Tribolium castaneum: one gene and its partner. The protein of the gene in region 2 purifies or fractionates together with the protein of the main gene of each other region. This does not show direct contact. Links are inferred from orthologs where the notes say so. Each region holds a gene or a part of one and is shown on either strand. Other genes may lie near its edges.

What was found.
Region 1: the proteins of Dis3 (region 2) and Csl4 purify together in Drosophila melanogaster (affinity purification with western blotting; 3 studies listed by BioGRID, with this or other methods). This does not show direct contact. The link is inferred for Tribolium castaneum from reciprocal best matches to the Drosophila melanogaster genes Dis3 and Csl4.

The regions. Positions count from the first base shown.
Region 1 is NC_087401.1:17,299,119-17,303,163, reverse strand, and holds Csl4 (exosome complex component CSL4), read left to right. Parts: upstream 1-2,206; 5' UTR 2,207-2,293; intron 2,294-2,349; 5' UTR 2,350-2,506; coding exon 2,507-3,097; 3' UTR 3,098-3,153; downstream 3,154-4,045. Other genes in the region: uncharacterized protein LOC100141651, read left to right, coding at 1-187; protein HGH1 homolog, read right to left, coding at 866-1,866, 1,913-2,000.
Region 2 is NC_087394.1:36,185,999-36,191,289, forward strand, and holds the start of Dis3 (exosome complex exonuclease RRP44), read right to left. Parts: upstream 3,286-5,291; 5' UTR 2,808-3,285; coding exon 2,754-2,807; intron 2,705-2,753; coding exon 2,540-2,704; intron 2,488-2,539; coding exon 2,330-2,487; intron 2,279-2,329; coding exon 1,879-2,278; intron 1,804-1,878; coding exon 1,390-1,803; intron 548-1,389; coding exon 401-547; intron 353-400; coding exon 1-352. Other genes in the region: mpv17-like protein, read left to right, coding at 5,135-5,263.

The sequences.
Region 1 (4,045 bases), on a different chromosome or scaffold from region 2:
TGTAACATTGTTTTACGAAATGCGGTTACAAAATTACGAATTGTTTGAGTTAACCGAATATGTGGAGGAGAATTTGCCGGTTTTAACCGCCGGTTATTTCCGGTTGGGCAAGCCGACGATTTTGCGCATGTTTGCCACTGTTGCCAACTTTGTGATCGTCGTGGTGCAAGTCACTAATAAAAATTGAATTCTGATTTTTCACTTTTTCTTCCTGTTTTTATTGAACTTGAACGAAAAAAATCAACAAATTTGGACAAAAATGACCAAAAATTTATTTTTTTCTAAGCAAAAACTTAATTACTTCGCAATTTTTTTTTAAAAATCGGGTAATAAATCACAAAATTATTCAAAAATAACATTTTTTGCAAATTCTGAAAATATAAACACGTTTTTTTAAACCAAAAATCTAGTTTTTTTCCTGTTTTTATTAAAGTAGAATGAAAAAAATCACCAAATTTGGTCAAAAATGAAAAATAATTTACTTTTTCTAAGCAAAAACTTCATTATTTCGCATTTTTTTAAATCAGGTAATAAATCAAAAAATTATGCAAAAAATGAAATTTTTTTGCAAGTTCTGAAAATTTAAACACGTTTTTTGACCAAAAATCTAGTTTTTTTTTTCATGTTTTTATTAAACTAGAACAGAAAAATCACCAAATTTGGTCAAAAATGAATGAAAAGTTACCGTTTCTAAACAAAAACTCAAATATTGCGCAAAATTTCTAAATAATTTAATTGTTATGGAAACGGCCAGAACAACAGTGACAACTGTTAATACAGTGAAACTTCTGTCACCCGAACTAATTCGTCCGAAATTATATATTTTTGAAATATATAGAAAGACGAAATTTAATTGTAAAAAAATTTATTCATCTTTTAAAAACTGCTCATCCGCTTTATTGAAGTCTTCGCTTAAACTTTGGGGCACTTTAAGTGTCTTCAAATCATCTTCTCCAATTTCCTCCTCGGTGCGTATCAAAATATCGACCAAATTTTCACACGCTAAAAGCACCTTTCTGTCCTTTTCCCACTTGTGCAACTCGCGCAAAATCACATAAGTGTTTCTCTCTCTGATAAATTCTCGATTTTTTCTCTTGGCACATAACTGGGTCAAAGCCTCCAGTAACATGCACCTGATATCTGGATCTTCTTCACGCTGTTTCTCCTCCGGGAGATATTGCAGTTCAAGGGGGAGCTTGTCGTTGTCTTCGTCGTCAAATTCCTCGTTTCCGGCCAGGGGGCGGAGCAGCCGGGGCAAGATATCGACATGGGGGCCCAAGAGCAGCTCATGACACTCGGGGTCAAATGTGCAGTTACGCAGGGCCCCCACGACGCCCCCGCGCCTCACGGCCGACTCCTCGAATTCAATGAAAGGCACGAGTTTGTGGATCCGGTCCAGGAAGCGTCTCCGGACGCGCCCACTTTGCGACAAGTTCGAAAAAAGGGGGCTCAAGTAGTGGAGGTTAGCCCCCGCTTTATTGTACTGTTTTTTCGTGAAAATGTCAATCAAATCGTCCAAACTTGCGCTTTTCTCAAGCGCATCAATCACTTTATCGTGATTGGCCCGAGATAAGTTCGATAAAATCATGCAGGAAAAATCGGCGATTTTACTCATGGGGTCCGTCACGAATTTAACAACAGTCGAAGTAATGTCACTCGGGGGGCTCTGTAAAGGGGGGCACCCCACACTCGTGTCCAAATCAAGCAATGCCAGGGCCCCCTTGTGATCAGCAGAGACATTAACAAGGCAAAGTGCCGAGTCTTTGACAATTGTGGCGTTATTATCACTCAAAAGTGTGATTAAGGAGACCAGAAGTGACGGTGTGTTGATTAATGTGGCAATTCCGTCCGCATTCCCCGTCAAACCTACAAAAAAATTACAAAAAACAAGTCTAACCTCGAACCCTATTACCCAAAATGTGCCCCAAAGCCACCGATTTGAGGTCCAAACGGGCCCCCAGATGCACAAACTGCAACAATTCGGCCACGGAATCACCCATTATCAGGCTAAAGCCCCCAAAAAAAAACAAAACACGAGGGGTGACAGCTGTCAAAAAAGTGGGGTTAGGTGGCAAAAAATCATTCTAATAAGTAAGGCATTATTTTTTTAGGTTTATCTCTACGTTGTATGTATATACAGGGTGTAATGAGTAGTTAAATAAACATAACATAAACCAGTTTATTTAATTCTGTAGCCAAATTAATGGTCGTAATTGGTAATTAATGTTAATTAATGAATGAGAAAGTAAAATTTTGCAAATTCGTTTTTTGACAATTGACAGTGACACTTGACGTAACCTCAAAAAAATCAAAAATTTCGTTTTTGTGCTGATTTTTCGCATGTTATAGCTCCTTGTGTGCCTTTGATTGGCTTTGAACGTCGTCTGCCGTGATAATAATATTGACAGTAAAAGGAACACGCAGTTTTTGAAATTTCTTCATGTCAATTGACATTTGACTTAACCTCAAAAAAAATCAAAAATTTCGTTTTTTGTTGATTTTGGGCATGTCATCGCCCCTTGTGTGCCTCCCGGGGCAGCGGCTGTGCCTGTCGGACCCCTCGCACGTGTCCGGTCAAGGCACGTACGAGCGTGGGGGCTACATCTACGCCACCCTTGCCGGTGTTGTGGACATTGTCCCCAAAGACAACGTCCAGATCATTGAAGTGCGCAGTTCCGGGCAGGAAACGCTCGTGCCGTCACAGGGCGACATCGTCACAGCGCAAATTCACACAATCACGCAGCAGTTTTGCAAATGCTACATTAAGTGTGTCGGGGATAAGGTTTTGGGGCGGCAGTATCGCGGGATTTTGCGGAAGGAGGACGTGCGAGCGACGGAGAAGGACCGCGTGGAGATTTACAAGAGTTTCAGGCCCGGGGACGTGATTCTGGCGAGGGTTTTGCCGATCACGGAAGCTCACACTTATCAGTTGTCCACGGCTGAGAATGAGCTGGGGGTCGTGACGGCGCACTCGGAACATGGGGGGCTTATGGTGCCTGTGAGCTGGACGGAGATGCAGTGCTCCAAGACGTTTGTGAAGGAGGCCAGGAAGGTTGCAAGAGTTGTGCCAGAAAGCGTGCAAAATGATGTGAAATAATGTTCAATAAATTGTATTTTTGTTTATTTTAATAAACCCTTTTGCGTCCCTTAAAAGTGCAAAAAAGTTAATTGAACTATTAGAGATAACCCTATAAAGTTTATAATCGTTGGAAAGCTCTTTGGATTATCTATTTTTTTCAAAAATGATTATTGTTCTCCGACTAATAGTTTTCGAGAAAATTGCAAGCAAAAGCAAAAATTGGAAACATTAAAAAAATCATAACTAAAAAACTATCGGGAATTTGGCGATTTTCTCGATGTCAATCGATTTCCCGGATCATTTTGCATAGGTAAGGATCAAAATAGTTCCACTTTTTCGAATAGTTTAGCCGTAATTCGATAAAAATTGAAAAACTTAAAAAATCACGCTGCTTCCTGAAAAACGTGCTCAAAAAACTTAAAAATAAACGCAGGCGCGAAAATTTGAATTTGAACCTAATTCTTTAAATATCTCGGAAACTAAGCGTTGGGCGCAATTTTGTTCTATGAGAGAAAAGATGCAACTTGATGTAGTCTAAGCGACGGTCTGGTTGAAATTGTAATTTTCAATAGTCATTTTGCTATCTCTTTAAGGAGCCATAAAAGACCTACACATTTTTGTGTTTTTGTAATGTCCAGTTCAGGCGGTGAAGTTTGAGGGGTCACTCGATGGGGTTTATATTAGTTTGAAAAACCCACCCTTATATTTTTTTTCAACTTTTATTAATACTTTTTCTAGTTTCGGGAACTGTTTGCAGTGGAGAATAAGTTGGTTTTGATTTTAAAATTTTTGGTCAACTAGGAACAGAGATACGAGATTTATTTATTGAAGGGTTGTTTTTTATGAAAGTGGCTAAATGTCATTTAAATCTACTTATTTTGTTTTATTTTGTCTGTTGTTGCTGTAATTGTACGACCATGTTAAAAGTCCACAAAAACGTAAAAAAAACGGAATTTCCGCCCCACC
Region 2 (5,291 bases):
TTTTATGAAATCGCGTACTTAAAATATTGGCATTTTGGTCCATTTCCCAAATGCAAGAAAACGCGAATCTTTCCTCTCCTCCTCGTAACGAACAAAGATTTGAACTGAGCAATGCTGGCACCATATCTATTCGATTATTAACCAAATACACTGTGGTGGCTCTAGAAGCAGCTTCGCGATCTAGAGGCGTTCCAGGTCTTATAAAATGCGAAACATCGGCAATATGAACACCAACTTCAAGTTTGCCGTCAGCTAGTGGACGACAATGAAGGGCGTCGTCAATGTCGGTACAACCTGGGGGATCCACTGAGCAAATGTCAAGGTGTCTGAGATCGACTCGTTTTTTGACGTCCTATTAAAAGCGCAATGAATAACAATCAGGGAGGAAAATAAACATTACATCATCGGTTATGATCCAAGGCATTTTGGGCAAACAATTGAGAACTTCCTCAGAGAATTGGCTGTGAGGGACGTCATGTTCCAGCAAAATGACCTCGTTTTCGGTGGTTTGGTCCCCAATGTTGCCCAAAGCTCGCACAAAATGACCCTATTTAAAAAATTACAAAAAATTAATGCAAAAAGAAATTTTTTCCTGAGTAATTTTTTTTTATGCAACTTCCTTATTTTAAATGGATTAGTGGAATTATTTTAAGGCTATTTTTATCAACTTTCCCTATACCTAAGTTGAACCATTTTCAGGATATTTAAGATTTTTTGAAAATTTTTGGATTTGCATCTGTCACTTAAAAAATCGGTAACTCTCTTAGCTTTGGAGATTTCAAAATCATATTTGGAGGATTAAAAGAGAAAGCCTCTATCTGTTCTGCAGTGTATTCAAAATTGGAAAAGACGTTATTAAACCCAAAAATTTTAAAGTTTGAACAACTTCAAGTGCCCATAACTTAATTTTTTCAAATGGGATGTCCCAATTTTTATTTTATTAAATGGAAGAGAATTTTTTTCTACATCGATTTGTATTAGCATTTCCTATAGCTATCTGTGATAATTTTCAAGTTATGTTACTTTTTTTGACATTGTAGAAAATTTCTTACTAATCACAGCTGTTTTTGCATAGTTTGCCATAAAAACATTTCTGAATCAGTCAGTTTTTAATGTCTTTTAATATTAGTGTTCTAAATGTTGACTCTTATTATAGTAGAATGGAAATTACCTCTAAAATAAATAAATTTTATTACGACATTATTATTGACGCTTTCTTAACATGCTTCCAATTTTTTCTTAGACTAAGTTGTAAACTGTTGTTTTTTTATTTTATTTGTTAGTGTTTCTTTATAATCATTGTTTGTCTTTGATTTATTGTATTTTCAGCTTACCTTTAGTGGTAATTTTTTTTGAGTAAATAATTATTTATTTACTTATAACACTTACATGAGGATAGCGTGAATGTTTGGGCCAGGAATCAATCGTAACGATCAATTTCTGAGTCCTTAGAAACTCCGCTTGTCTCGTTTCTATTTTAATTTTGGGTATACTTTTATCAGCTGGAACAAACATCTGATAAACACCATCAATGCCCCCTTGTAAAATGCCACAATATTGTCTCCACTTTCTACGAATAATTCCAACAACACGTCCTGTAGGTTTAGCTCCACTTTTCTTCTTTGTCGCTTTTTGTAACTCGTTTTCTTTTGTCACAACATCGTCAACACTCTCATCACCAACCCCTTCATCCTCTAGGATTATTTCACTCGGACACACCCATTCCTCCTCTTTCAAAAGCTCAACAGCTACAGTGTCACCATCCACTGAGCGGTTAAGGCCAGCCCGACCCTGAACTATCACCTACAGAAAATAAAAACAAATAGCTTCGCTTCGAGTTTCAATATTAAAAATAATGTATTTATAAAATTGCCTTACCGGCTCTTCGTACGAATCCACATTGACAAAACCTTCCAAGAAATTATCTCGAGAGGCTCGGAAAGTCCCCTGGAGCAGCTTTCCCTCTCTTATGCCAGTCAAAAGCTCAACATTACTCAAATGGTTGGGAAAAACGTCTTTCGTAAAATCATTTCCGTGAAAATCTTTCCTCGATAATTTATCGGTAAGACCCGAAGTGTTGAGATTTTGCACATATTCCGAGACGGTGTAAGAAGGTATATCCTCTTTTTGGGCTTTAATCCGATTAGCTGAGTCGTCAGTGAGGAAAACGAATTTTTGTTTAGGGGCATGGTTTATGTACCAGGAACACGCAGCTCTAATACACCTGTCATTGTAATCATTAATTAATTCACCTTCGTTTTGTTGCAAATAAGTGCCTCTGGAAGCAATGTTTTAGGTTTGTATCAATATAATGAAAAAATGTTTTTACTGATGGTGGTCGTTTATAAAAACGTAAAAATGACGACTCGGATTTTCAATTACAGCACACAAGCGTTTGTAAATTGGTAGACTTCGGTGCTTCACCTCGTTTAAAACTGTGTGGAGGATTATCACATTACCAATGACGGACTCTTCCAAAATATCCATCTAAATTTGTAATTTAAATGCTAGTTTTATAAAAAATAAACTCGGAAAATACCTGATCAAGAACAACATTTGTGTCTAGTATTAGATAATGATTAGAAGTAAATAAAGAACATTTGTTTTCGTGGTCTGGGGACAGGAATGACTCCACTGGCAAACAAGTTTCACACTCTTGAAGACCACAAGAAATGTCATCACGAATATAATGTTCTCGAACGTGCTACAATATTAGAAAAGATGGACCCCCATGTTTATTGTCACATACTAACCTTCAGATAATTCCCAACTTTGTTCTTTTTAATAAAAGCTTTAGTCGTAAACATTGTTTAATTATTTCAAATGTTTTTTTACAAAAACATGCCGCAACAAGTTATTTGGAGGTTATATTACAATATTTTTTGTGGTTATGTTTTTGTTGACAGCTGAGGCGGGAAATATAAAAAACTGTTTTTTTATTATAAAAAATACAAAACAAAAATTCTTACATTGTTCCAGCAATTATGAATACAAAAGACCATTACCATATTACCTAGTCATGCACAACGTTTTATTAAGAAATCTAACTCCCACTGCTATATAAACATGCTAATTTATTAAAAATATGCAATAAACGTGTTCCCCATGCGACTTAATTAGTTGCAGAAGCAAAATGAAAAATTATACATCCTGTACGAGTTGCTATTGATAAGTACAGTCACCCAAAATGAAAATGACGTGTCTATAACGCCCAAGTTTTAAGAAATTCGACATTTCGTTTATCATCATTTGAAATAATTGAGGGTTTCATTTTTTGGAAAATTTAATTAATTAATAAATAAATAATAAATTATTAATAAATAATAATAATAATAATAATAATAATAATAATAATAATTATAGTAATAAAAGCTTTTATTAGAGACAAAATGTGAGGGAGCAATCTATAGTTTACACGGTTGATGCAAAATATAAATTTCAATGTGAAATTAAATTTGCTGTATAATGAACAAATTTGAACATTAATTAAAGTATTTTATGATATTTATCTTATTCTTGATAATTTTTACGAAATAATCAGAAAAATAAAAAAAAAATTTTGTTTCATTTTCAGCTCGGTTTATTTAGGTAATACATTCCAAAAAGCTTGGAAAATTTTGTAATTTTGTAATTTTGAGACGTTGTTTTGTCAAAAGATTTATGGATTTAGACGTTTTTTTTTATCAAATATTGTAAAATAAATGAGTATCTTATTCAAAAATGCACGGTAGGTGGTTGTTTATAGACGCATCATTTTCATTTTGGGTGACTGTACTTAGCTTCCCATATAAGTAAAACCACGATATTTAAAAACACAGTTTATAAAATATTTGTTTCGTTCCGGAAACAAGTCTTCCGAGGCGTTTTTCCACATTTTTATCATGTAATTTAGTTAACAAAAAATTATTCTTTTTTTTTATAAAAAAAAAATCATAAAGTAAATTCTTAGGTCGTGGAGAAACTTCTTTGCTTTGCTGTCCTAACAACAGAAAATTATTTTTTTTTTGAACTCAAGTCACTCGAACGAGCGTCTGATCAGCATTCAAAGTTTTTCTGACAAACTGATTTAAAAAATTAGTTTAATAACTTGCGGATTTTACAAAAAAAGTAAAAACCTCTCAGACTAACTTTTGTCTCAAATTTTTTGAAATTCGTTTTAATTTTTGAGTAAATGAGTTCGGAGAATCTTTGAGATGAGCTCGGAACGCAACTGTAACAATTTATCTATCACGAATCGTCTTGATATTTGGCAAAACTTAAAAATTAAAAAACAATCACATTTTTAACAGCCTTGATAACGTACTAATTACTTTGTTCGTAAAACAAACAGATTAGGTATTTGCCGAACTTTACTATTCATTTATTTTCAAAACTATTATTAACGTATAACTCATAGAAAACAATAAAACACATAGATCAAGTTTATGTAACCATATGTTGCATACATGATACTTAAGCGTACCTGTGCATTGTTTAATGTCTACAAAAGTGAATTGAAAGGTATCACGTGTCGTCCTAAGAAAGTAGCTCAAAAATTGCCTAAGATAAGCTAGTTAATACTCATAATACACTCGTAGAAGGTTACATATTTTATTTACAGTAATTTATTTAACTAGCGCCAATTGAATTCATTAAACAAAACCTATCTGCTGTGGTGTGTAGTAGCTGTGAAGAATTACAAGCGTTGTTATTAAGTTACTGTGTTGTTCCAGGTAAATAAAAGCCCTTTATTGTCATACACAAGACCTTAAAAGTGTGACATAAATTATATTAAACAAATAAAAACGTCGGAAAATTCCTGTTTGTAATAAATAACTTGTAATTATTGTTTCCAACTGAATTATGAATTTTTCCACAACATTCGAACAATTTCTAATTAGAATCCGCGTCCTGTGATATTTGAAACAGAGCGACTTACAATCAATAAGAGCGTTCTTGCGCAAGAACGCATCTGTTGCGAAATTTTTGCCCAAATGCCACCCAATCATTTTATCAAATCAGTTAGCTAGTAGTTTGGCACTAAAAAAATGAAACGCTTCAAAAAAGACCATTGTGTTGGTGAACTCTAATTAATTGAATTCTAGTATGCGATTTTTTCTACTAAAATATGGCTCTAACAGTAAATTGTTTCAGCATGTCAAGTATTTTAAAATTCATTAAATATGCATTTACCAAATACCCGATCGCTTCCAATTCTCTGGTTTATGGAACACTTTACGTGGGAGCCGAATTTTCCCAACAAACCATCTCGAGAAAAGTTCTGGTGAGTTGTGAATTATTAAAGCGACACT